Oryzias latipes: one gene and its partners. The protein of the gene in region 1 interacts with the protein of each later gene in a biochemical or structural test. Links are inferred from orthologs where the notes say so. Each region holds a gene or a part of one and is shown in the gene's direction. Other genes may lie near its edges. The genes, in order: sp1, retinoic acid receptor alpha-A, atf7ip, rnf4, esr1, pou2f1 and e2f1.

The links.
Region 2: the proteins of sp1 (region 1) and retinoic acid receptor alpha-A form a complex in vitro, tested with the Homo sapiens proteins (2 studies listed by BioGRID). The link is inferred for Oryzias latipes from reciprocal best matches to the Homo sapiens genes SP1 and RARA.
Region 3: the proteins of sp1 (region 1) and atf7ip form a complex in vitro, tested with the Homo sapiens proteins (3 studies listed by BioGRID). The link is inferred for Oryzias latipes from reciprocal best matches to the Homo sapiens genes SP1 and ATF7IP.
Region 4: the proteins of sp1 (region 1) and rnf4 form a complex in vitro, tested with the Homo sapiens proteins (2 studies listed by BioGRID, with this or other methods). The link is inferred for Oryzias latipes from reciprocal best matches to the Homo sapiens genes SP1 and RNF4.
Region 5: the proteins of sp1 (region 1) and esr1 form a complex in vitro, tested with the Homo sapiens proteins (6 studies listed by BioGRID and IntAct). The link is inferred for Oryzias latipes from reciprocal best matches to the Homo sapiens genes SP1 and ESR1.
Region 6: the proteins of sp1 (region 1) and pou2f1 form a complex in vitro, tested with the Homo sapiens proteins (3 studies listed by BioGRID and IntAct). The link is inferred for Oryzias latipes from reciprocal best matches to the Homo sapiens genes SP1 and POU2F1.
Region 7: the proteins of sp1 (region 1) and e2f1 form a complex in vitro, tested with the Homo sapiens proteins (4 studies listed by BioGRID and IntAct). The link is inferred for Oryzias latipes from reciprocal best matches to the Homo sapiens genes SP1 and E2F1.

The regions. Positions count from the first base shown.
Region 1 is NC_019863.2:10,441,023-10,444,144, reverse strand, and holds the end of sp1 (transcription factor Sp1), read left to right. Parts: intron 1-7; coding exon 8-198; intron 199-856; coding exon 857-1,161; 3' UTR 1,162-2,622; downstream 2,623-3,122. Other genes in the region: cell division cycle-associated protein 7, read right to left, coding at 2,740-2,782, 3,032-3,122. UniProt on the Homo sapiens protein: Transcription factor that can activate or repress transcription in response to physiological and pathological stimuli.
Region 2 is NC_019877.2:4,427,169-4,430,668, reverse strand, and holds part of retinoic acid receptor alpha-A, read left to right. Parts: intron 1-858; coding exon 859-1,000; intron 1,001-3,500. UniProt on the Homo sapiens protein: Receptor for retinoic acid. Retinoic acid receptors bind as heterodimers to their target response elements in response to their ligands, all-trans or 9-cis retinoic acid, and regulate gene expression in various biological processes.
Region 3 is NC_019859.2:10,796,342-10,799,731, forward strand, and holds the end of atf7ip (activating transcription factor 7-interacting protein 1), read left to right. Parts: coding exon 1-594; intron 595-670; coding exon 671-772; intron 773-870; coding exon 871-948; intron 949-1,066; coding exon 1,067-1,146; intron 1,147-1,940; coding exon 1,941-2,396; 3' UTR 2,397-2,890; downstream 2,891-3,390. UniProt on the Homo sapiens protein: Recruiter that couples transcriptional factors to general transcription apparatus and thereby modulates transcription regulation and chromatin formation. Can both act as an activator or a repressor depending on the context.
Region 4 is NC_019868.2:3,826,217-3,830,150, reverse strand, and holds the start of rnf4 (E3 ubiquitin-protein ligase RNF4), read left to right. Parts: upstream 1-1,134; 5' UTR 1,135-1,338; intron 1,339-2,067; 5' UTR 2,068-2,130; coding exon 2,131-2,142; intron 2,143-2,446; coding exon 2,447-2,612; intron 2,613-2,946; coding exon 2,947-3,029; intron 3,030-3,125; coding exon 3,126-3,138; intron 3,139-3,209; coding exon 3,210-3,324; intron 3,325-3,625; coding exon 3,626-3,677; intron 3,678-3,934. UniProt on the Homo sapiens protein: E3 ubiquitin-protein ligase which binds polysumoylated chains covalently attached to proteins and mediates 'Lys-6'-, 'Lys-11'-, 'Lys-48'- and 'Lys-63'-linked polyubiquitination of those substrates and their subsequent targeting to the proteasome for degradation.
Region 5 is NC_019882.2:8,941,328-8,945,255, forward strand, and holds the start of esr1 (estrogen receptor), read left to right. Parts: upstream 1-1,128; 5' UTR 1,129-1,232; coding exon 1,233-1,243; intron 1,244-1,873; coding exon 1,874-2,293; intron 2,294-2,921; coding exon 2,922-3,136; intron 3,137-3,569; coding exon 3,570-3,686; intron 3,687-3,928.
Region 6 is NC_019879.2:10,758,499-10,762,462, reverse strand, and holds the start of pou2f1 (POU domain, class 2, transcription factor 1), read left to right. Parts: upstream 1-1,164; 5' UTR 1,165-1,201; coding exon 1,202-1,247; intron 1,248-3,964. UniProt on the Homo sapiens protein: Transcription factor that binds to the octamer motif (5'-ATTTGCAT-3') and activates the promoters of the genes for some small nuclear RNAs (snRNA) and of genes such as those for histone H2B and immunoglobulins.
Region 7 is NC_019865.2:2,000,237-2,004,433, reverse strand, and holds the start of e2f1 (transcription factor E2F1), read left to right. Parts: upstream 1-1,397; 5' UTR 1,398-2,306; intron 2,307-2,396; 5' UTR 2,397-2,602; coding exon 2,603-2,854; intron 2,855-2,942; coding exon 2,943-3,042; intron 3,043-4,161; coding exon 4,162-4,197. Other genes in the region: znf341 (zinc finger protein 341), read right to left, coding at 288-398, 856-886. UniProt on the Homo sapiens protein: Transcription activator that binds DNA cooperatively with DP proteins through the E2 recognition site, 5'-TTTC[CG]CGC-3' found in the promoter region of a number of genes whose products are involved in cell cycle regulation or in DNA replication.

The DNA.
Region 1 (3,122 bases):
TAATCAGTGATCCAACTAAAAAGAAGCAGCACATTTGTCACATAAGCGGCTGTGGGAAAATCTACGGGAAGACCTCACACCTCCGAGCCCACCTTCGTTGGCATACAGGAGAACGCCCCTTCGTCTGCAACTGGTCTTTCTGCGGTAAAAGATTCACGCGTTCAGATGAGCTCCAGCGCCACCGGAGGACACACACAGGTAGAAATTAGGATTTACTTTACACAAACCTGCTTTAACAGTGTGCGTTTGCTAGTATTGGTCTTGTGTACTGGAATGTCATGACCACGAACCTCACCACGAATGACGTGTATAAGCCTATAAAATAACTATTTTCTTCTGGGAGAGTCCAGCTGCTGCCTCTGTTGTAGTCATGGCTCCAAAGGCCGGCGCCCTGGCAATTCTGTCCGAAAATGTCACACTTTTTTCTGAGAATTGTTCCAGATGTTTTGGTATTTGTGTTTTAGTTTTTTGCGCTGGAAAAAACAAAGGAACAGGAACAGCTGTGATCAGAGTCCTCCATTTCTCCATTTATAACTGGCTGTAGGCGGGATTACTATATTGCCCACACCTGTTAGGTGCCACAGGTGTGTCTAAACACAAATTACTGGAGTATCACATGCTTAAAAGGCTTTTACATGGTGCCAAAATTGTAGTCCAAAACAATAAACATATGAACATTTACAATTGCAATAATTATCTGACAAAATTGCAAGGATGCTGATATTTGACCATGGCTGTAAATAAAAAGATAAATACTGACAGTCTAAAGAAATGAGTACTTTTATGTTGCAAAAAGTCAATCTAGCAGGTGCCTAAAATGTTTTCTTTTCTCTCCCTTCCTTCCCCTTTTCTCCAGGTGAGAAAAGATTTGCCTGCACTGAATGTCCCAAGCGCTTCATGCGTAGTGACCATCTCTCAAAGCACATCAAGACCCACTTTAACAAGAAAGTTGGGACAGTTACCAACAGCTCCACGTTAGCGGGCGATGCTGCTTCCCCGGCAGCAGGAACAGAAGCAGGCAGCGGAGCAGTGTCGGCCAATGACCAACACTCCATCGTCACCATGGAAACCTTATCTGCAGAAAGCTTAGCTCGTTTAGCCAGTAGTGGTATCAATATGATGCAGGTGGACCTTCACCAGATCAATGGAAACAATTATTAAATCAACAGAGGGGGAAATTCCCTGTTTGGAATTTGGGCTTAAAACAAACAGAAAAAAGGGCATAAAGCAAAACCTCCAAGGTGTTAAAACAGAAAAGGGTCACCAATGCAACATTATATATGCTAAATTCAAATTTTGATTTTTATATTTAGATATTGGTAGTATTTAATAGATTAAGATGCTCTATTAAACACTGTGAAATTTATTTTCCCTGCAAAGGAATGGCAGTTAGACCAACTTTCCCCCCAGTTCCAACAAAGTTAAACCAGTGGGATTGAAATTAGACATTTGATAGTTAATTTAAGACCAGTAATATTCTCTAGTTTCTTTAGTGAAGAGGTGACCTTAAGTCACTCGCTCTACTTCCTGCAGGACTGTTTTGTTTGCCCCTCTTTGCATCAGAGGTGTCTTGCCCCGCCCACAGCACCGTTAAACATTTCCCTAAAATTCAAAGGAAACATCATGTTTTAGATTCTAAAACTGAATACTTGATTGATAGTCGTGATAACATTGGGTAATTTTATTGGCTTGCATTTCTACTGTCTTAGTGCATGGATGAATTACCCAGCAGCAAAACTGGGCCAAAAGCATTGTCTGCCAGCAAGTCCTGGGGATAACTCTGATGTAAGAACACATTCAAGCCATTGTACTCTAATATCTGTGGTATCAAAGCATTTTTTTAAAAAGTGTACATATTTTTTTTTTTTTTTTTTTGTAAAAATCAAAATTAGGCAGGATCATCTTACCTGATTGCAGGATAATGCTTTAGTCTTTCCTGAATGCACAATCTTCATTTTATTTTTTTATTATATATAAATCAATATAGAATAACTGTATAAACTTCAAAGCTTTCATAGAATGTTATATACAGCACCAATCTTCCAGTTGACACATTGTGGTAATATTAAGTTTTCCTTTCCTGTGGTACTTCTTTCTTTTAAGAATTTGAGAGCAATGTCACTTTCAGTTTCAATTTGAGTTTTTTCCCCTGTCATTTATGGCCAGAGCAAAAAAAAAAAGAGAAAAAAAACTGCAATAATGTTTATACAGTTTACAAGCTCAAACCAAAGGTTCATTCATTTTCTGTCGTTTGCCAGAGAAGAGCCTGGAAAGAAGTTTGGCTTTGGTCAATGAACTTTGTTTTTCTTTGTACAAATATGATGCATATGTTAAAACTGGAGAACAAGTATGAATGAAACCTATCAGTTTTCTTTTATGTCTAAATATAAAAACAGCAGGATGTTGTTACTAAAGTTATGGTTTGCATTGCTGTTTTTTCCTTTTAGTTCTGCTTTGTGAAACTCTGTAATCTGTGCAATGTATCTTCACAACCTTTTAGAAAAGTGACTTAAGTTTATTGGACAAGTGCTCTTATGTCCCCCCTGCATTTTAAAATAAGGGATTTTATAATGTGTTTATACATCTATTGCAAATGCCAACAGCTTGATTAAAAATTAATCTACTTTCTCAGTTCACGGCAAGCTTGTGTTTCAGCATTCACTCAACACATGTCAGAAACCAATTTATTCGTTTAAAATGCGGGTCATGCACAAAATAAGACAATACTCCATACTCTCCTCACATCCCCATACTCTCCTCGCACTTCAGCTTCTCACGGAGGCTGTAAGCAGAGAGGAGTTCATGCTTCGTCATTTCAAATGTAAAGCACAAGTTCCATCTACTGAGTTAAACAATTTAGCTTTTAGTGGAGTTTAATGAAATTCATCCTGGAGTTAAAAATCCAGAATCCCATTTGTCAAAAACTAACAGACCACTTTTATGTTCCAAACTGCACATTTTCTCCTGGTATTTAGTAACTATTACTACTAGTTCAACTTAACTAGTATCTTGATGAACACATGTACTCCACCTGCTGAGGTAAGAATGGACGTCAGAGAATCCGTGGTACTGGGCCAGAGGAAAGAGGATTCCAGTTGGACAACGGCCCTCACGCTGACGGC
Region 2 (3,500 bases), on another chromosome or scaffold:
AATCAACAGAACCACTGGGATTAACGCAAATACTTTCTTCTCCTCGGTCGCATGGTATTAAAAATAACTAGATGCTTCTCCGCTGATTTGTTATTGTTGTCGAGTGTCACATGGGTATGTGTTTACAACGCCCCAAACGAGAAAAATAGAAGGAAGCTTTGGAATCATGTTTGGTTTGACATTTGCAGAGAAAATTCCTCTGGTACATGAATTTATTTGTGTTTGTAATCCCAAGGAATCAGAGGAAACTTTTGGATTTAGGAGGACAGATGCATTTATTGGCCTTACACAACCCTGTGATGCAGAACTCTTCCTGCACGCCTCTGTCTGCTGGCCTGGATCGACAATGACTTATTTGAAGCTTTCTGAACTGGGTCACAGTTGTGTGCCAACCACGTGGCTTTTGACCTAAAACCCTTTGAGGCTTTTTAACATCTCAAAAGCATTTTCTTTTTCCTTTAAACCTTATATAGACAAGCTGGTGGGCAACATTATGAGCCTATACGACTGTTGACAGTACAGTAGTTCTTCTGGCAAATGAGCAAGCTCCGCTGGTTTTCTGTAATAAACTGGAATGCTGTTGGCTCGGGGAAGAAGCCACCGCCATTTCCGGCTTCATTTCTAAATGGAATGCGCCATATGTCTCAGATTAAGCCCTTTATGGACTTAACTGCTTGATGGTTTAGTGCTTTTCATCTGCATCGGTGTGTGGTATTGTTGGCTTTTTCCTAATATCAACCCCTATTTCATCCTGAAAAACATGCTGCTTTGTTTTACCTGGATTAAAGGTGTAGCAGCATCCTATAGAGCCGTGCTGTGGTTTGTTTAGCCTCACCGCTGCGTTCTTCTGCCACGCAGGGCTTCTTTCGGAGAAGCATCCAGAAAAACATGGTGTACACTTGTCACCGGGAGAAGAACTGCATCATCAACAAAGTCACCCGCAACCGCTGCCAGTACTGTCGGTTACAGAAGTGCCTGGAAGTCGGCATGTCGAAGGAATGTGAGTAAAGATCCCCGTTGTTCCCACCTACACAGGATCTCATGTTGTTGGGTTTAATCGCAGTAGTTCAGAGTTTGTTCTCCTGCTTGCAGCTTTTAATTAATTTGGTTCAATTTTTGTGTTTTTCAAGGCTTTAAAATTACAGCTGAAAATCAATGCAGTGGAATAATTCTTTATTTGACTGCTGGGTTTATTGGTTCGATTTTTGACCGTAGAAATAAAAGCGGTCAGAGAGGCTCTGTGTCTCAGGAGATCAGATTTTGTTCTTCTTTTTTTAAATACAATCTTTTTGCTGCTCACAATGAGCCTAAATAAACACATTTATTCTTAAAAAGATGTAATAGACCAAAGATTTTTTAAGAAGGGCCTGAGAAGTTTCAATTAAATCTGAGCAAAATAAACTTTTTTGTTTGTTCCGTTGCTAGAATTAGACAAAAGTTAAGTTTTTATGGATTTCTGCCTTAATTCCATAGTTGGCCTTTTCATACAGATTTCATAGATTTAAATAGACTTTTTAACAGAAAAAGAAAGAAGTTAATACTTTTTTTGTTCTTATTTAACCTTTTAGGACCTCAATTTATCTCCTTGTTTCCCTTAATCATGTTGTGTGGGTTACCTAAACTTTGTCATGCTTGTGGTGTTTTAGTTTTAGGCTGCAATAATAAAATAATGAATGATTTGGTTTAGATAATGCACTATGAAAAAAACAATATTTTTTTCTTGTTTTTTAATCATAAATTGAGCCAAATTATACCAAAACTTGACTAATCCAAAAGGTACAACACATTTCATTGACGGGGAGGGAAAAACAATGAAAATATAAAAAGAAAATAAGTAATTTGTGAATTCTGAAGCTTCAATAACTGAAAACCTTTTCCAGTTTTTTTTGTAAGGTCATCAAAAGGCTGAACCTCTTGTTTGTTGGAGTTTATTTTTAAGATTTTCAAAAGAAAAGCAGTATTTTTTTCTTCTTCTTTTACCTAAATTGACAAAAAGAAGCCCTGAACCAGATGATTTGTTTAATGTTTTTTCCAAATACTAAGATTAGAAAATCCACTTTGAGGGTGTATCCATTTTTTCCTGTATTAGAGCTTTAAAATCCGGTTACAATTTTCAAAACAAAAATAACAAAAGTATATTTTATATCTTAATACTATATGCTTGTCATTCATGATGTATTTCTGATGTGACAGTAGTAACTGCAGATTCAAATCTCCACCCACGCTTTGGACAGTGATTTTCTTAAAAAATAAGAAATAAATGAAAGCTCTGGCTTTAATTCAGGTGTGTGTATTCATGGCCAATTGATCTTTTTTTTTCAAGACTGTCCATCGTATTGTCCTGTGAAATCATGAAGCTGCCATTATGTCCGAGATGGATTCCTCATCATTCCTGTGAAAGCTTTTCCTCCCCAGCTCTTCCATCCATCAGCTTCCCACAAATCCTATTTTATTTCAAATGATTAGCTGCAGCATTAGCCCGGTGAGAGTTTTGTCTGCGTTTGGTTGTTTAATCTGCAGGATAAACCGTGTTGGTAGCAGCGAGGGCAGAAGCGATGGAGACGGGCAGCAACAGTCGCCGTGTCTCCAGACTTGGCAGGCCTGGGTGATGAATATGTTCTCACCTGCCGAGAGTGAAAGAGCAGGCGTCTGCTCCCATCATTGCACCCCGGGGGCTGTGTGAACACACACACACGGGCAGTCAGACTTGATGAAGTAATTGGTGGAGGTGTGACCACGGAGAGCTCAAAGGCCAGCAGGGTTTATACCTCACCTGATCACATGACGCGGCGGCGCCCGCAGCCATGAGCTATAAATGCACTGCGTCCTTTCTCCCCACCTGCCTATAAACACATTATGTCTTTGCTACTGATGCCCCCCCCCCCCCTCCATATCCACAGCACTGTTGCTTACAGTTAAAAAAAAGTTATCCTCTGAGCTCCTTACCTTTGAACGGTGCCATTAATCATAGTTAGAAACACCACAGCAGCCAGTTCTTTTACACCCAATTTCACTTGGTGGCAAACAGCACAAAAGGTGGAGTTAGAGTGCCCTCTAGTGGTAGAAAAACTAAACTTTTGAAGAATTTCTTTTTTCGAAGGGACTCCTTTTTTGCTAATCATGTCCGATAAATACACCTCCTGTTTTATAATAAAGCCCTGTTCAGCCCAAACATTTTGTGCAGAGTGGGCAGATTGCTCGACTTTTTGTCACAGCAGTGACTTTGGCCCGCCAAACTGGTCTGGGTCGGTGCCGGAGGCAGCGGAGACGCGAACCATCTGCAGCCTGCAGGGACTCTCCGACAGCACGGGGCACGCGCCCGTCAGAGCGCTCGATTATGCACGCTCACCCGCTCACTGCGGCGTTACGCAGGTTCAAGGTGACAACACGGAGTGGAGTGAATTAAAATGCAAAGAAAGAAAGAAAAAAGATAAACAAGAAAGGAGCTGGGACGGTTCCACATTCAGAGAGCGTGCACCCACACATCCAGAAGGCTGGAC
Region 3 (3,390 bases), on another chromosome or scaffold:
TGGTTCCACAGGGCTCCATCCTGCAGCTCATAACCTCCAGCGCCAACAACGTCTCCACGCTGGCCACAGGCATCACTACTCAGAGTCAGCCGGGCACGCTGGTGCTGAAGACGGCCCCCGGGAGCAGCATGGTGGCTGCGGGGCAGCCTCTGGTTATCCAGCTGCCGCTATCGGTTAATGGCCAGACGGGGACGCTGGTCAACTTCCCAGTTTCTTCCTTGTCTGCGGCCACCTCACTAACCAAGGCTAAAACCACTCCCTCCACCACCACCTTCATTCTCAAGCCCTCTCCTGCGACCAACCCAGTATCGGTCTCCAGCTCAACGGCCGCCTCTCTCCCAGCAATTCAGGCCTCTGCGGGTCAGGTGTCCTCCACCCAGATCTCTGTGGCCCGTGCTGTGTACCAAGGCGGTGCAGGTGGAATAACTACTCCCAACGCGGGAGTTTCTGTGACCACAGCAAGGACACCGGCTCAGTCCGTCTCTGTGGTTGGAGCTTTGTCTTCTGCATCTTCACCTGCAACCTCTGTACCGGCGGCGACCGGTTCTACTGCCCCAGGACCCCCACAAGGGACGTCTCTAACTTCAAAAACAGGTGAGGAAGATGGAAGCTCTGCCTTTGCTTACTTTCGTTCTTCTAACTTAATAACTAACAAGATGATCTTATTTAGACAACCAAACCACCATAACCCCGCCAACCAAAGTAGTTGTGCCTGTAGCACGACCCAAAGGCTCCGTCATCGACCTTACCGAGGATGACGATGATGTTCAAGGTAAGACGAGTCCTTTTCCCCTTCATGAATTTATTGTTTTAAAAACTTTTCCTGTCTTTAATCCTGACACTAAGAGTTTTTTTTGTTTTGTTTTGCAGTGACAGGAGTGAAGAATGCAACAGTTGCACCTCCTTCTCCTGCGTTGCGTTCCAACCCAGTTACCAGCATTTCCACCAGTAAGAACAACCTAGCATGTTTAATTCATAAACAAACGACAGCACTTAAAGCAATTCACAATTATTGCTTGTTTTTTTTTTGTGTGTGTTTAAAAAAATCTTTGTGATTTATCTGCAGGCGCTGCAGCCAGGTCGTCCCCAAAAACCAATCAAAACCCCTCAAATCCTCAGATAACGGTGCATCATCGCCCCCCACAGGTGAGGATGTAGAAGTGCAACAGAAAATGTTGAATTTATTGTTTTTAGTTCTTATTTAGAATTACATGTGTCTGCAACTCGAGCATGAATGGAGAACAATTCACACAAGATTATACAAATAATAACAGCAGCTTCTGGCCCCCAAGGGTTTGGGTTTTTCTGTTTTTATTCACTGATGTTTGAGGGGAAAAAAGGAAGAAGAGCTCAAATGTAACAGAAGTGTCAATAGCAATAGGAGCCCGGCCACTATTGGCGACTGGCATCTAAAGTAAAGAGAACCTTTCAGACCCGCCATTATTATAGACCGGCCACTCTCCTGCTAGCTTACAGCCCATCACAAATGATCTCCTATTCAAACGGCATTTCTTCGTCTGCTCCTGATTCACAAAAATTTGAATAAGGAAATACTTCAAACAACAATTTTAAGCTTCATTTTCTTCTTTTCGGAAAAAAGAAAACTGGTCAAAAAGACAAGACTCTACTTTTTCTTCAGGGCTACATTTAAAAAATGAAGGTTTATTTTTTTGACAGTTTTTCCTTATTTTAAAAAGTTTTGTTGAACTACTTAAGATCACATCTAATTGTTTGGTTTTATTCGCATACGAGTAACAGTTGCCTGTAACTTCTGTCAAAGGATTATGGTTGTTGATTTGAAAACTTGAAAATGCTGAACTAATCCAGACGAGGGGTTTCACATTAAAAGCCTAAAATAATCAACTTTTCGTCATTTTTTTTCTGCACATCAAAAGTGACTTCTAGTGACTGCTTTCTAAACTTCTCTATGTTTTTCATAGGATGCTGCTTCCAAGCCCCGCCCCACAACCTCTGCAACAACACGGGGTCCGGCCCCAGCGCTCCCTGCTCTCCCCGTCGCCCCCGCGCCTACACGCTTACCCCCCGAGGCCGAACGCACCTCTCCTCCCCAACAACTGCAGCTGAAGCTGGTGCCGGGTCAAACCGGCATCGTGTTGTCCTGGAGTGTGGCGGAGGTCGACAGAAGCTGCGCCACCGTAGAGAGCTATCACCTGTACGCCTTTCACCAAGACAACTCCAACTCCAGCTCCGCCCAGCAGCACTGGAAGAAGATAGGGGAGGTGAACGCGCTGCCCCTCCCTATGGCCTGTACGCTGACACAGTTCCAGTCTGGCTCCACATACTATTTTGCTGTTCGAGCCAAGGACATTTATGGACGCTTCGGTACCTTCTGTGAACCTCAGTGCACAAATGTAATCACTTCCACTTCTACCTAAAACCGTCAGAAAAAATAAAAGTTTTTGTTTTTTTTGTTTTTTGCCTTTGAATGGTTATGGCAACTTCTTTTTTTCATTTAAAAGAAAATCCTTTTCTGTTAAGACTCAATGCTGAACACATGCAGTATCTGTAAATAAACCCACATCCTGGACTACTGACTGACTTGGAGGATCGCTGAATCAAATCTTCATTCTCACTGGTTCTTCTTTGTATGTGACGTATTATTTTGTGACTCAAACGTGTAAATATCTGATTGATCTAACCCCTCTGCAACGTCAGATATTTATGCTGTTGCCTCCCGCTGTTCCAGCCTTTTTTTCCACCTGTTTTTTTTTTTTTTTTAAAGGATAGGCTGCAAGATTCTTCATGTAAACTCAAATGCACAAAAATGTAAACTTGTGTGGTAGAAACAAAATAACTTTTGTAAGTTCTGTCTGGAAATGAGACTTTGACAAAAACAATAAAAAAAAGTTTTATTAAATGTTCGGCTAAATTGAAGTGTTAATGAACTGTTTTTAACCACGCTGTCAGACGGCACTTTAGCTTGCCTAAGCTAATTGAGGATGTGTAGGTTTGTGCTTGCTGTCAATAATTAATATGGTGTAACATCCCTGAACGCCACGCTGCTGCTGGTGGACCGGCGAGCACCGGTTAATGGCAGCTTTGGTAAAAAGGAACAGGAGGTAGCTAGCACCCATTGATGGTCATTTCCATAAGGAGAGATTTTAGGAATGCAAGGTAAGATTTGTTGTGATACAGACAAACGTGTGTGAAGTAAGTCCACAATCTTTGGCGGTTTGGCTCTGGGCTGATGACGTTAACTCAGACCTTTGGTGAATAAACCTTAGAGCAGGGTAGACCAAATCCAGACCTCGAGGGCTGACCAACCACCTGCTGGTTTTCCAGAAATCCTGCCTGCTCTGCTGTTAATTACCTGGATCAGGTGTGTTTAGCCAATAAGGAGCTTCAACAGCAGGTTGGAAAACATGTAGG
Region 4 (3,934 bases), on another chromosome or scaffold:
TCAGGTTAGGTTATATAGACAGTGTTTAAGTCCTAATGTTTAGTTCCCCAATCTGATATTTCAAGTCAGATTCCCCCTAGATATGAATAAATACACACCAACTTTTATTTTAAGAAATTAAAAGCTTTTATGCTCTGGCGGGCCACAGAAAATGACATGGTGGGCCTTGAGTTTGACACATGTTGTAGACCCTTGATGGCTCCACAGACGTTTACATTGGTGCAGCTGCAGGTTCTGAGATAGAGATGAGACAGTCTAACCAAACTCTTTGTTCTGATGTAACTAAGTTCTTTTTTTTCAGACTCTGGTCCTCTGCCCACTAGGGTCCCTGCTGTGTGAACACAGCTGAAGCGAGTTTCTTCAGTGTTTTGCAGTGACTAAGACATGATTTTTGGTCCTTCTACGCATGCACAGCAGGATGTTAACGAGACACGTCTTCAACGTTCACGCTGAGCTCAGACAGGAACCAGGAAAGGACAGAAACAGGATCTCAGCAGAGTTTAGTTTATATATGATAAACTGACAGAGGGGGAAAAGCTATTAAAAACAAAATACAAAACAAAAATATATTTTTCCATTAATGTATTTACAGAGCACCTAACTATCAAGGAGCAAGGGTAGAATCCAAGGTACTAAACATAAAAGACACAATCATAGGATGAAAGAAAAAAATCATGACACATCAAAGACTAAAAACATCAGAAGATGATTATAAAATGGTCAAACCGGTACGGCTGATGGTTTGAGAAGGTACCGTCTAGAATAATAGGGTAAAAATGTATAAGTGATAAATCAAAAAATACTCAAAGGCCAAATAAAAAAGTAAAAGACGTTTTGTAAATGCTAAATTAAAAAGATATCTTTAATTATTTTTTTTTTTTTTAAATTTACATTTCTAAAACTAAGGATAAAATCTGCTCTTGATTCACCACGATTTGGAAAAAAAATGCCTAGAAATGCTTTTTTATTCTTAGTTTTTTTTATATATGTTCATTTGCCCCATGATGAAAAAAAATGCCGCAAAAATATGTCAAAAACTCAAAACACCATTTTCCTTTGAGTGTTTTATTTTGGTAAACACAAGGTGACCTGTCCACACGGTGGCGCTGCAGCTTTCAGATCAGACGCAGCTGCAGAAGAAGAGCCCGCAGACCGGAAGTAGATAGAGGCCCACACTCCACTGTTCTCCCAGATGGTGTCAGTGGTCCTGAGTTCGGTTCTGACTCGGTCCAGACAGCGTGTATAGCCTCTACCAGACTCAGTTCTTCGGATAACACTTTTGGAGTAAAATAAGAGGCCGAAAAGGCGCCAAGCAGCAAACGACAGCAACATCAAACGGTAAGAGTCGAGAAAGAGATCACCGAAATGCTGGTGTTGTGACAGAAATGGTTTACTTTGGAAACCGGCTCCTCACGTGACTCTGTACGTCAGTTCTAACTGCAGCCAGCGGTGGTTGAATAACTGCTCCAATCACTCTGCACGTGTGTTCTTGTTAGCTTGTTCGAATGAGACGTTATGAAATAGTTTTTTGATATAAAAAGCAGATGAATAAATCATATAACTGAGGACAAATGACCAATTGTACCTGCTACGGAAAGCGTGTAGGCACAAAACAGAAGCTGAGGACAGGGAAACACTGCTGGTGCTGGATGGAGCTTTTTTCGTGGCGCGGTGGAAGATCAAACGTCTTTCTTCTGTGATTGTAGAGTACATGTTTTAAACCAATGGAGATTAATGCATTTTAACAAAATGTTTCAATGGGCCATGCCTGACATTCTCTTTGTATATCTTTCTATCATACAAAAGTCTGACATAATCCACCCCTAATCCTCCTTGTCTGACCAAACATTTCTAGTCCCTCACAGATGACAACAGAAGAAACTCTCCCGACGTTTGAAAAGCAGTCGCGACAGTTTGAAATGGGACAGTTTTAGTAATCTATTTATAAAAATAGATACCTTCTTTTGATCCATCCTCTGGAGGAGCGGCGAGTTGCAGAAACAGCAGTGCTCAGGAACCATTTGGGGGTTTAATCCTAACCTTAACCCTTCCTCTGGGTCCCTGCAGCTCCCGAAGGCCCGGCCCCCCGCAGCTTCCGAAGGCCCGGCCGCCCGCAGCTCCTGGACGGACATGAGTAGCTCTGTACGTCTGCATGCCTCTCTTCATCACGCCCTGTAATGATAAAGGAACGTCTGCTTTCCTCCATCATCATCTGGAAAAAAGCAGTTTCTGTGGAAGCTGCTCTGAGCTGCAGTCAGCAGTTTCCACCTAAAGCTTCTGTGGAGCAGTGGGTGGAGCTTCATTCTGACCACACTGAAAACTGGCAGCAGCTTTCCTTGCTTCAGTGATGCTCACTGTGACTGTTGTGAACCTGACTCCCAGGTGTCAGGTCAGCCTTTGAGCTCACCTGAGGTGGTTGAGGCCCTGCGTGTTCATGTGTTTTCAGGCCCAGAGGAAGAGAAGGCCCACCGAAAGTCCTCGGGTCTCCAGGCCCAGCATCAAGACCAGCAGAGTTGCTCAATCCAGGAGAGCGGTCAACCGGGGGACTCATACCGGTGCAGACTCCGCTCCCCCTGCCGAGACCATCGACGTGATGGACAACACGGACGACGGTCAGTGTGTCAGCCTCCGGGAGCCTTTTTTTTCCCCAGGATTCACTTGGAAATGGGGTTTAGGCTCATTTTAAACCTCTGCTCTGAGAGCACGGGTCTGCTGTAAGCTTCAGCTGGCTCTGTCTTCATCCTGTAGCACGGCAGTGGAAGTGTCATGGTCTGGAGACGCTTCCAGCAGAAGCTTTTCTTTTGAGGAAGATTCAGTCTGACCTCTAGACCCAAACACAGCAGCAGCTTCTCCTCAGGGATCAAAGCAGGTGGTTGTAGTGCTGCCTGGAGGTTCTGACGGCCTCGCTGTCCTCAGGTGTTTGTAACCGACGGCTGGTGTGTGCAGGTGTGGAGGAGGTGGTGGACCTTACCTGTGAGGGAGCAGAAGCTGCTGTGGTGGACCTGACCAACAACAACGACTCTGTGCTGGTAACACGCTCTGTCATTCATCATTCACTTTGGGGGGGGCTGTGGAAACGGGCTGTAAGCTGATGTTCTTCTCTTGTTCTTGTCTCTGCGCTCCAGCTGGTGGATGAGGGTAAGTCCTCCTGGACCTCAGTGTGTGTCACCAGGTCATCTGAGGGTCACCTGACCTTCTGTTTGTGTTAGATCCTCAGAGCAGCACAGTCCCTGCAGGTGAGAGCTACGTCCTGAGCAGTGATGAAGATGAGGACACGCCCCTTTTCAGCAGCGCCGCCACCGCGGCGGCCGCACATGCATCAAGGTGAAGAACCGAACTCTGCGCCTGCGTTTAGTTCAGGGGAGTTGGGAGCGTCCCGGTGTGCACGCTCGACGGGGGAGCGTGCACACCAAAGCTCCCCCGAATCCATAGAGGTCACAGTAAATGTTGTGGTGATATTTAGAAAGGGATGAGCGGAGTGTGAACTCAAAACAGGAGGGTGGAGAACACAGACGGACTCACATCAGTTTGAGTAGGGCTCATGGTTCTGCAGAACCAGGACAGAAAGCAGCAAAGCTCCTCAGGTTCTTGAAGTAAAAGTCACTGGGTTCTTGTTGGGTTTCAGGTCGACGCCAGGCCTGATCAGCTGTCCGGTCTGTCTGGATCTGTACTCTGAGGTAAGAGAAATGCACGGGTGAGAGGCATGAACGAACCTGCCTTTGAAGTCTGAACCAGAACCCGTTTAAAGAACTAAAAACTCGGCATCTAAAGAGAACCTTTGTCTCATGGAAAGGTAACGTTTAGAAAAACAGCAGAAATGCAGACAGCTGTCCACCTGTGAAAGCAATCTATTCTCTTCCTAACTTTGTTCCTCTTGATGCTGTGAGAACAGCAGCTTGGCTCATAAAAGTGTTTCTCAGAACCTTCTGACTCC
Region 5 (3,928 bases), on another chromosome or scaffold:
TGAAGGCAGATTTGCCTGAAAGTTTGATTTCAAAGTAAAGATCAGAGGAAGGTTTGGGTGTTGATTTTTAATCTGAATGGTTTGGATTAAAGCTTTAAATCTCCCTGGCCAAAATCTGGAGTCCATCCTGACGCCTGTCTGCGCTCAAATAAAACACACACTTGTAATAAACCTGAACAGATGAAAAAGGTAATAAATAGATGAAACTAAGAGTGGGGCATCTTGTCTTTATTTTTCTGCTCTCGCATGTTGACCTGTTGCATTCAGGTCAGGTCGGACTTTAAAAACCTGTAAACGAAACAGTTGGAAATGCTGCAACATGTGCATTACAATTCTGAATGAACGAGGGGTATAATTGTCGTACTTTGTGAAGGTGGTCCGTCACGAAAATGAGGTCAATTATTCTAAGAGGCGTGCTAAAGCCATTTTTGGTGATTTGCTGGATACGTTTGCTTCCCAACCAGTCATTTTTTGCTGTTTCCTGGTGTTGCTGTCATCAATTTTATTCTAGGAAAAATGCAAAATGATCCATATCATCATCAAGACTACTTGTTTCCCACTTGACCCCAACATGTCTTGAAAATTGGGCTGTTTGTTCAAGAAAGAGTCCGGACAGGAACGAGGAGGAGGGCTTTTGTTCCCCCCTTCAGCAGTCGAGCATGCTCATGTTTATTCTAACATATAAGAAGATCATATCTTGATAAAATCAGCTTTATTTTAGCCCCCCCCCCCATTTTTATGTTAATATTATTCAAATCTAATTTTCCTGGAAGAATTTCAAGTCCATTTTTCTTTCCTAGTAATTCAAGTACACACAAAAAAAACTTTAAAGTGTAAATACTATTTTTTTCCAGAAATCTATGGCATCAGCAATTTGGCTTTAGTGGAAATGTTTTGCCACTTCCCCTTTGACCAAACCTTTTTTTTTGTGTTTATTATCTTTTTTTCCTCTTTTTCTGCATTTAAAATCCCCATTAATTTCCTTATTTGGAATTGATTGTGTAATTGTTGGCTGTCAGATTGAGATTTGACCCCCTGCTTTGTTTGCTGTGTTATGGTGACCTGGCACTTAAACACACCATGGTTATTGATTTGGCTGCATCTTTAATTTGTTTATCCTTTTTCAAACCTTTCCACTGGTTCCACCGAAGCTGCCCGTCTCGCTGCTAGATGCCTGTCAGGCAGGCAGAGAGGAAGCAGCCCGTGTTGCGCAGCACATCTGAGGATGATTCATGAGTAAGAGGTGAGTGGTGTCTCATGCTTGATTTTGCAGTTCTTCTTTTCTTTTTTTTCTTTTTTAAGCCTTTTTGTTTCAAAGCATCCCTGCTTTTATTTACCCAGTAATTAGGTTGAGTGCAGTCTTGGTTGTGTTTTGGCCATCTCACCACTAACGCCGCATCCTCTGCTAATAAAAGCTGATTATTCAGAGTCGCTCTGTTGGTTTGTAGTTTCTGGAAACCACACGACAGCCGGGGAAAGCTTTGCTTTAGACAAACGAGGTGGAAGGAGACAGGGAAGTTTAGGAATAACTATTCCCTGACATTCCTTTCTTTTCCTCTCTCTCCCACTTGTGACTCCCACACTTGAGTGTAAACATATTGGAGGAAATACTGAGAGACAAAACCAGCAGATTGGGAGGAGTCCTTTTCGTTATTTTTGGTGAGCTGAAGCTTTAGGGAGACGAGGAAAAAGGATCTTCTGGTCCCTCCAAGTAGTCTGACAGGCATTAATAGAAAGATGAGCCCCACACAGAGAGAAAGGGAAGACTAAAAAGAGAGAGGGAGAGGAGAACTCCACTCCCCCTCCCAGCAAATGGGAGAACAAGTCTAAATCATGCTTCTTATCGCCGCTGTTGTGCTGTGATGTTGCTCAGACAGAGCTCGGTGCAGATCAGGCAGCTGTTCGGACCAGCACTCAGATCCAGGATCAGCCCAGCCTCCTCAGAGCTGGAGACCCTCTCCCCACCTCGCCTCTCGCCCCGTGACCCCCTCGGTGACATGTACCCTGAAGAGAGCCGGGGTTCTGGAGGGGTGGCTGCTGTGGACTTTTTGGAAGGGACGTACGACTATGCCGCCCCCAACCCTGCCACGACTCCCCTTTACAGCCAGTCCAGCACCGGCTACTACTCTGCTCCCCTGGAAACAAACGGACCCCCCTCAGAAGGCAGTCTGCAGTCCCTGGGCAGTGGGCCGACGAGCCCTCTGGTGTTTGTGCCCTCCAGCCCCAGACTCAGTCCCTTTATGCATCCACCCAGCCACCACTATCTGGAAACCACTTCCACGCCCGTTTACAGGTAAGTGAGGGCAGTTTAGCTCCGAATGAGTCATGAAAGTGGACAAATGAGGGGGAGAGGTCTGTGTTTCAGCCTCTGCTGATTCATCCAACTGTTTGTTTAGGCAGACTGAGTTAAAAGGAAGTACTGAATTCCAAAAAATGATTATTATTTTGCTTTGTTTAATTACAAAAATCAAGGAGTTTGGGTGTTTTTCACCCACTGTCACACATGAGGAGCAGCCTTGGCGGAAAACTAGATATTTTACAATTTATGGCAATGACATTTAAAGTTGAGTCTTCCAAGTGCTTTTATAAACAAAACATTATTACATAATGACACAACCTTTTAATCTTCCACTTTATACAAAACACACAACTTTATCTTTTCGTAAAGGATCAAGCTTGGTCCTGCTTTCTAAATCCAGAGATTAAGGACTTTGTCAGAGACCTTGAGAGAGGAACAATACGTAAGAACAACAGAGGCTCACATGAATTTTGTTTTTCTGGTTCCGGTGGAAAACACAAGTCTGTTTTTGCACTTTCATATTTTTAGTCAGAATGTTCTTGATCATCTTTTGGCAAATTCTGTCCTTTATTAGCACCACAGAACCAGAAATGGTCAGATTAAGATTCACAACCTGTTGCAGATCCAGCCACCAGGGAGCCTCCAGGGAGGACCAGTGCGGCTCCCGGGAGGACACGTGCAGCCTGGGGGAGTTAGGCGCCGGAGCCGGGGCTGGGGGGTTTGAGATGGCCAAAGACACGCGTTTCTGCGCCGTGTGCAGCGACTACGCCTCTGGGTACCACTATGGGGTGTGGTCTTGTGAGGGCTGCAAGGCCTTCTTCAAGAGGAGCATCCAGGGTAGGAAGCCACACTAAAAAGTCTTCTGGATTTAGAAAACTGTCAAAAATGTCAAATCAGTCTGATCTGAAAAATTCTCAATTATACTTTGATAATCATCATAAATTGTGATATCGTAGAAATGACTAGTCTTAAATCAAAAGAATTGATGAGCGCACATTTAAGCCTTTGTGGTTAGTTTTTGGATCACAACAGTTGAAGAGAAAAGCTCCATCTGCTTGATGGTTCAGTCATGTTCACGATATAATTGTGTAATGAAGGATCAGTCAGAAGGTTACAAAATGTTTCCATGGCAATAGAAAAGCTAAGATGCCACATTTTCATCTTCTCCTCCCCAGATTCTTTTATCAGTGTTCCTGGCTACTAAATAACCTAAATCTAAACTGAACATTGGACTTGAAGGCTGAAAGTAATATATTTTTCTCCATTTCAGGTCACAATGACTATATGTGCCCAGCGACCAATCAGTGCACTATTGACAGAAATCGGAGGAAGAGCTGCCAGGCTTGTCGTCTTAGGAAGTGTTACGAAGTGGGAATGATGAAAGGCGGTGAGCACTAACTTCACCTGACAAGAGATTTTCCCGCCTCAGCTTTTTTGTTCCCATCATTTACCATTTTCTACATGAAAGCGGCCCTCAATATTTGTTTTTCTGCAACGCACACTCCGCAAGGGTGCAGATAAACTTGAACTTTAGCACGTCCCTGAAGATATTTACATCTCAGAAGTACAACTAATTATTACACATCCTGTTTGTTTTGGTGCCTCTCAGATAAGGGCATCTAAGTGTGC
Region 6 (3,964 bases), on another chromosome or scaffold:
GTGAGAAGGAGGTAGATGATTCACTGTAGTGACTCTTAAAAAGAGCTGAAAGCCAAAAAGAAGATAGTTTATTAATTTGTAGTAGGATTCGGCAGGTCAACGTGTTAAACTCTAAGTCAAGAACAAAATGGAATAAAATAGTATTGTATCATCTGTCATATTCTCTGACAAATGTTGAAAGGATTTGAATGATCAACAAAGTGACCTGAAATCCGAGAGGGCCAAAGTGTGAACACTGAGGAACAGCACAGATCAGACATAACACTGTTTATAGCCTCAACCCATTAAATCCATTAAAGTCCTACTCCAATAACCTTTTGATCTATTTTCAAAGCGTTCCCAGTAGCGTTTTAATTTGGATTATTCCGTTTATAGCCAAAATAAAGAAAAACCTGTGTTGTTTTTCTAGGATATAGATTCTGCAGAGAGGCAGCAGTTCATCAGAAATTCACCTTTACATTGTTGGCAGGACCGTTGGCACAGAGTGTCCATCACCCTCCCATTATCCATCTATTTACACCTCTCCAGCTAGCTTACAGCCCCACAGAATCCTAACCTAACATCACTGGTGCAACAGAAAATGGTGATCAATATTGGAGCTTTCCAGTTGTATCGTTTTGAGTAAATATCCCAGCTTGGATGAAGAAAAAGAGACGTACATGGATCTATTTGTTTACAAGGATGCATCAGAGTGAAACAGAGCAGGGAACTTGTGGCCCGCCTAATCTATTTTCTGCGTCACAAGTATGATCTTCTTCCAACTGCATTTTTCCGTCTGCTCTTGTTTCACAATGAAGAATTTCAAAAATGCAATTTTGAGCTTAATTTTCTTTAACTCCTTCATTATGAAAAATGCCACAAGAATGTATTAAAAAATACTCAAAACAACGATTTTCCTGGGAGTGGGTCTTTAAATTATGTATTATAATTCATAATTTTAATAAACTTCTTATTTTTGTAAAGTAAAAGCTTATTATTTGTTTTATGTTTATTTGCAGTTAATAAAAGTGTTGTTAGAAACCTGTGCAAGATAAGATAATATATGTTTAAAGTATTTAAGCAAGCCAGAAGGGAAAAACTGTCCTTTTCTGTCCTCCGAACAGGTTTGTGTGCTTTGTGTGTGTGCACGCGCGCGTTTGTTTGTGCGCTCGCGCGCGTGTGTGCCTGACTCAGGGCTGGAATTTCGGGTTAAATATTCAAAATGGCGGACGGAGGAGCAGCGAGTCAAGATGAGAGTTCAGGACCAGGTAATGATTACGGCATTTTACATATTCATACTCGTATTCAAACGTTCTTACTCAGAATTTATGATACCAGAATACAGATGACTCGAAAAGAGACAAGCAGATAAAGCTTCGACGGAGCGGTGTTTTAGTTTTGCACACAGCTGGCCATCTGTAATTTGACAGAGGAGGAAACGGGCTATTGCAGTGCGACGGCAAATTACATGGAAACATGCCTCCCCCCTTTGTGTGATTAGACGGCTGTACGCCGCTACATATTCATATGTCTGTCGACAAATACAATTTAGCATATTTTATTAGTAATCAGCGTCGTGGCTCCGGTTCATAAGGAACGCATATGGCTGTATTTGTATTTGAGGGACGCAGTTTGATGGGACTGGGGGTGCTAGCTGGCTAGCTGTAGCGCCCGTGCTAACGCTCGGCTTTGTGTTGATGTACACTGAGGCTTTTGAGAAACGTTTGCATATTCATTTTTTACCAGCCGGGCAGTGGCCGCGCGCACCTCTGTACAAACATTTATCCTGGGTATTTCAATCTAAGCGTCGTATTTTTATTTGAGGCCGTCTTTTACTAGTTTTACCCCACGGCGTCAGCTCTGTGTCTCTCAGCTCTGAGGCTCTACTACATGATCATTTTTTCTCCTTTTTTTTTTTTTTAAATAGCAGAGCATTTTTCCCCCTTGCCTTTTGTGCTTGGCGCAGCGGAGCCACGGCAGCCTGTTGTGTTATTCATACACTGTAGTGTGGAGTTCAGCATATTCCATCCACGGTTGACGAGCTCGCCTTGCGCGGCACAACTTGCCAATATTTTGTAACGCGATTTTGTCGTCTGTTTACGTTAAATGAGCGGGGATAGCTTGTTATGGTTGTAATATAGACTGTACCTCCTGAGCTATTAATAATTATATTTAGTGTTATTTTGATGTTTTGTGTTAGATCAATGGTCCAAACCTGGCTGTTTTGTCGGTGTTTTTTTATGTGCGGGATTATGGTGGAAGTTGGGACTAGCATTGTTTTCATCGACTTGAGGTGGGAGTCGTCTGAGACTTGGTGGTACTGTTCTGTTTTGGCTTCACTTTATTATGGAGCGCGCTCGTGGCTTCTGTTGGACCCCTTTTAAAAACATTTTTAAAGCTGTTGGGCCTCTCTTTGTGTTTGGAGTTTTGACTTGGCCGAGCTGTACTAAATTAGGACTGTACCTGTACCCCCCTCAGGCAAAGGAAGGGGTGGTGAGGCCCACTTCCGGAAGGCCACAGTAATAACGGGCAGCACTCTTATTATTCTCCCTGCTGCTTTCATGACTGTTCAAGACACTTGAAGCTTGATGGCACTGTTTTGCCTGTTCTTTTCAAAATAATAGCCAAGGCAATCAGGGTTGTTCCATCTTAACTTTACCAAAAGATTCTATATCTTTGTAAACACCTTTTAGACAATTTTCTTTCATTCGTAAATATTCTAATTTTAGTGTTTCTTTTTTAAATAAATATTTATTTATTTATTAAAATTATTAATTTTAATTGTTGTTAATTGGTGTTCAATTGTTCAACTACAGGGTTGTCTTCACACAAGCTGTTTCAAAAACATCCCATAAAATATTAAAAATTTAAAATCAAATAAAAAACAGAAAAACGAGTACAAGCAAAGGTAAAATCTCAAATTGAAAACATTTTTTATATAAATCAATATAAGTCTAAACTTATGAAGAGTTTACGTTATTGCGGTTGACTTCATAATGATGATTTTTGTCTTCCCAAAATGCTCTGTAGCATTACTTTAAAATGTTTTTAGAAGTTCAACTGTAGAAAAAGTACAAAGACTTAGATTTTTTTCCCCATAGATTAATCTAAAGTTTGACTGTTTTGGCCTTAAAATTTGACAGAGTAAGGGCTTTTTGCAAATTTGTGTTAGGTCGTAATTTAATTTAAAAAGGTCCATTAAAATATGTCATTTTAATCAAATTATTAAGTACCAGTAAATAAATAAAATTTGACTTTCAAAAATGGCACAGTGTTGCATGTCAAGTCGAATCGCAGTCATAGAACTCATCACACATGAATGGCTGAGGAAATAGTTCATTTTGCTTGTGTCACAACACTGAAAGTGCAGGTTTCTTCAGTCTTTTGGATTTTATGATTTCTTGTTCTGGAAATATCCTTATTCTTTTCCCTAAATATCCAACTTAATAAATAGTGCTTTCCATAGAAAACACAAGAAATGTTCCATCATCCCACTGAAGCTACTTTTCTCATTTTCAGTTTCCAGTTTCCCCCTCACGCCAGCCTTGTAGTTCAATCATGAATATTCATTGATGTAAACACAGTTGCTATGAATAATTCATCACCCGGTGTAATAAATTCAGGACATGCCACCTCAAAGTACTGAGAAGGCCTCGATGAAGGCTCTAGTCAGACAAGCCTGTTCACTCTAGAGAAAGGAGAAAAAAAATGTGATAATAGGAGTTTTGTGTCTCCTTAGGAATAGACTAGTTGTTTCTGGTGATTTTCTGCTGAAATGAATCATTCATGACTGTATAATGCAAAACAGAAAATTCGTAAATATAAAGAGGCCATTTGGCAAAATAATGCAGTCTTTTTTTTTCCATTATTAATAAACAAAATTGCATTTTTATTCATGAATTTGAAAAAAACTACTCCAATGTATTCAAAGAAAGTCACAATGAACTTTTTACGTGCATGGGATGATACATTTAAAATGAGATAC
Region 7 (4,197 bases), on another chromosome or scaffold:
GAACATAGATTCTGCAGAGCGCCAGGAGCTGTGGGCGTGACTGTTGGCACAGAGCAACCCCCTTGTTGCTGAGAGCTCTTTGTTTACACACTAGATAAAAGCCCCTCAACCTATTTGTCTGCAAGTGGATGCATCAGAATGGGGCGGAGCAGGGAGCCTGTGGCCCCGCCCGGCGGATTTTCTACGTCACAAATGCGATCTTTTACGAATACTCGGAAATGCAACTTTGAGCTTAGTTGTCTTAATCTGTAGCAGTCCTGTGGAGCTCGGTGCAGAATGCTCCTTACCCATAGACTGGATGGTGGATCCTGCAGACACATTCTGGTTGTTGGGGTCATTGACTCCCCCCTGGCCATCCAGCAGGGACTGGACTGCTAGAACGGTCTGGTTGTCCATGCCTGAGGGGATGGAGGGAAACAGGGATTTAACATCAGTAACAGCTTTTCTTTTTACAACATGTTAGAAGAAGATCTGCTTCTCCATGAAAGTGACAGAAACAATAACGCGAGGAGTGCATGTTCACATATTAATGAATAGCTTTTATTGTCACATGTACAGCTTTTACACTGACATACGAGATGAGTTATTATATTACAGAAATAATTAATATTACATTTACAAAAAAAGCCGTTTATAGCAGTACAGTCTTAATCTTTAAAATATAATCAGGTTGTTTACAATCATCATCATCAGATCAGGCAGAACCCTTCAGTTCAGGGTGCTTACAGCCTACATAATACCCGTTTAAAGGGTGATTTAGTGTTCAAACAAGTCTCCAGTTAATTTACATGATGTGGTTTTCTTTGGCATATAACATATTTAATAATTGCGCGGTAAATAAGACTATATTTGTACCTTCCAGCGCCTCGAATATTGTCTGCGCCATCTTACAGCGCTCCTGTTTACCATCGGTGATCGATTGGTAGGGTCTGTTACTTTAGGTGCAGACCCCCCAATGAAATGCTTACATTAATATTTGCAAATAGAAAAAAACTTATCACATTTGGTTCAGACCCCCAGAAAACTCTAGTTTAGAAAGTTCCTAAGCAATCAGATTTAACTTTATTTTTTGTTAATCTGATTGCTTAAACGGAGAGGGAGCGCTAGGGACTACATTGAAAAAACGTAACTTTTTTAAGCTGGGACGCAAAGACTGTTACATCATATATTTAATATGGTAAAGGAGTTTATCTTTTAGTTTTGGGAAACCTTACATGAAACTGACACTACGTGTTTTACTATTTTGTTTAAAATTTCCTAAACAAAGCAGTTAAGAAGCCTTTTGTCCGTGGAACGTGAATGCACCTCCCAATCAGCAAATCTGTGCTCTGGAGAGTCACAGACGGCCATCTCCGCCAATCAGAGAACACCAACCTGGTCACATGGAAGGCCAGTTTTCCCCATGCTCTGTAACGTGACAGACGGCCATTTCCACCAATCGGAAGACACCAATCGCGTCACGCGCAAAACGAATCCCACTGGCCAATCCCAGCGGTCGCTTTTCCCCACGTGCCAGTTTCGCGGCAAAAAGGATTTCGCGCGAAAACCGTCCAGCCTTGTTTAGATATAGATCAGCTGGGACAACAACAATGACGGCTGCTAATGGGGTCGGCGCGGCTCGTTTACAGATGGACCCGATCTTCGGCGAGCAGACGAAGGAGCATCGGCACATTTTTTAACGTTTGAGCGAGTATTTCCTCCGTTTTGTCTGCATCTCCCGCGTTTCTCCGAGTGCTTCCTGCGTGCCCCAACAGTACGAGGGGGACCGAAGAACTGCAGCTAATCCCTGAAGCTAGCATGCTAAAGTTCCCCGTATTTCCGCGCTAAACTCTCTGTCGTCGCCGTCGCCCGGACGGATGGTTGCTTTCTTTTGGGAACTATTTTCTCAAAGATGGTGTGGATCTGCGATCATGATGCCTCCGCCGAGTGAATGTGTATTTTTTTTATTGCTTAGATAGCCCAGTTCTGTGAGCGTCTATAAAGTTTTCCGAACCCGTTAATGAAGCCATATCGTAGGGAAAAGGAGATAAACTTTTAGGTAGTGGTGGTAAATGTAGTCCTCTGCTGTTGTTCGTGTTTATTAGCAAAGTTGTTGTAGTCTTTTCTTGTGGTAAGCTAGTTCGTTAGCTTGGTAGCTCTGTGTTTGAGGACGGAGTGGCGAGGCCTCTGACAGGAAAACGAAAGACTAGCAGGCTAGCTCGCTCATGATCTCAATTTACGGCGGGTTTCTTCTTCTACTTCGTCTTTTGACCTTCTTTTATTTCCGCTGAAAACGGCGCGCGAGCCGAGCAGCGCGTGAGCCTAAAGTAGGATGCGCTCAGCGGGTCGTTTCCTGTTTGGGCTCCACGTCTCGCCTTGACGTTTGAACCTTCGACTCCTCTGTGGTTGATCTGCAGATTTCAGGCTCGCTGTAGGTCAACCTTCAGCAGGAGGAGGAGGAGGAGGAGGAGAGGTTAATGGATCAGCATTTTCTCCTCAAGTCCTCCTAACATGTTTGGGGTCACCTGGTGCTGAGCCTGTTTTGATACCCCAGTTGGTGCCCCCACCCTCCCTGGCATTCCCCCAGTCTGCTGCAGGAGCCCTTTGGGCGGCAGGCAGTGCCATGTCAGAGACTCTGATAACGGGTCAGACATCCGAGGATCTGCTGAAGGACTTTGAGACTCTGCTGAACTCCGGGAGCATCGATCTGAGCCAGGACCACCAGATCGTCATCATCACCAGCCCCAGCAATGAGGGACTCCACCCGCTGGCCGCCCCCAGCAGCACGGGGGAAATCCTGCTATTCGCCACGCCGCAGAGCCACGCCGACGCGGGGGGCCAGGACAGGAGGAGGCCGGCTCTGGGAAGACCTCCGGTGAGGGCGTGGCTTCAAGGCGGCCGCCGCCGCCACATCATCACACGCCGGGGTTCACATAATCGATTCCTCTTCATTTGATGATTAGGTGAAGAGGAAGCTGGACCTGGATAGCGACCACCAGTATGTCAGCACCACCCGATCCTCCGCCAGCCAAGCACCTCCTTCTACTCCTGCTCCTCCCAGAGGTACGCCGCACGCTCAGGAGCAGGAGCGCCGACTCGGCATCCTTTCACGGCGCTGAAGCTGGCGTCCGGTTAGCGGGGGCACTAAAGGAACATTCCACTGCATTTTTCACCCTAAGACCACCTTAGACCAGGTCCTTTTCAGAAACCACAGGACCTGGGCTGCTCAAACCTGGATTAAAATTAGGATTTAGATAGTAAAGAATTCATTAAACACAGCTTCTGATTTATGAACATTGAAATGGGATGATTTTATGTAGTTGATCAATTTAAAATGATCTATTTTTAGTCTGCCGTCGTTTGGTGAGCTGCATTGCAGGCAGACGACACGAATTCACAAGAGGGGAGGCAACAGAATCCCAAACAACAGAGCGCTGCGAGCAGGAAAGCCACAAAAACTTTAAAATGATTAAATAAAAATGAGTCCAGGTCCAGCGGTTTTTCAAAAGGACCGGGTCTTAGGAGGACCCGGTGCGTAAAATACTATAAAATCCTCCTATTTCACATTTTCATGAGTCAGAAACTGTGTTTAATGAATTCTTTACTATCTAAATCCTAATTTAATGCAGGATAGAGCAGTCCAGGTCCTGTGTTTTTGAACAGGACCACCAATCATTTTACATCTTTTGGATTGCGTAACGCTCAGACTGACTCATGACATCATGGCGTCCACATGCTGCGTGAAGCGTTTCCGTCCGCAGACGTTTGGGGCCGTTGGGATGAGAAGTTGAAGGAGAATTTCTGCTGAAGGCTGAGCCTCAGTTCCTTTTGTTTTTTTATCACTGAAATCCACATTTGACCGTTCAGTTCTAAGATGTTTCCTTCAGCAGAATCTTCATCGGTGGATTTCTATTTTTAAACCACCAAAAGACCCGCCGTGGCTCCGAAATCCAGGTCCCGTGGCCACGTCAGAGAGGGCGGGGCTTGGAGTTTCTTTAAAGGCTGGTTATAAATATTACCTTAAAGAAAATAAAAGTTTCGATGGCGTGGTCCAAACGAGGCCTGCCTGTGCCGCTGGAACGTCTTCACAGCTGGAGTCGGAGGATCACCTGTTTTCCACCTGGATGTGTGTTTTGTTTGTGGAGGAGGTTTAAGGCGGCGTGTTTTTCACTGCTTTTCCAGTTCCTCGAAGCACGGCGGAGAAGTCGAGGTACGACA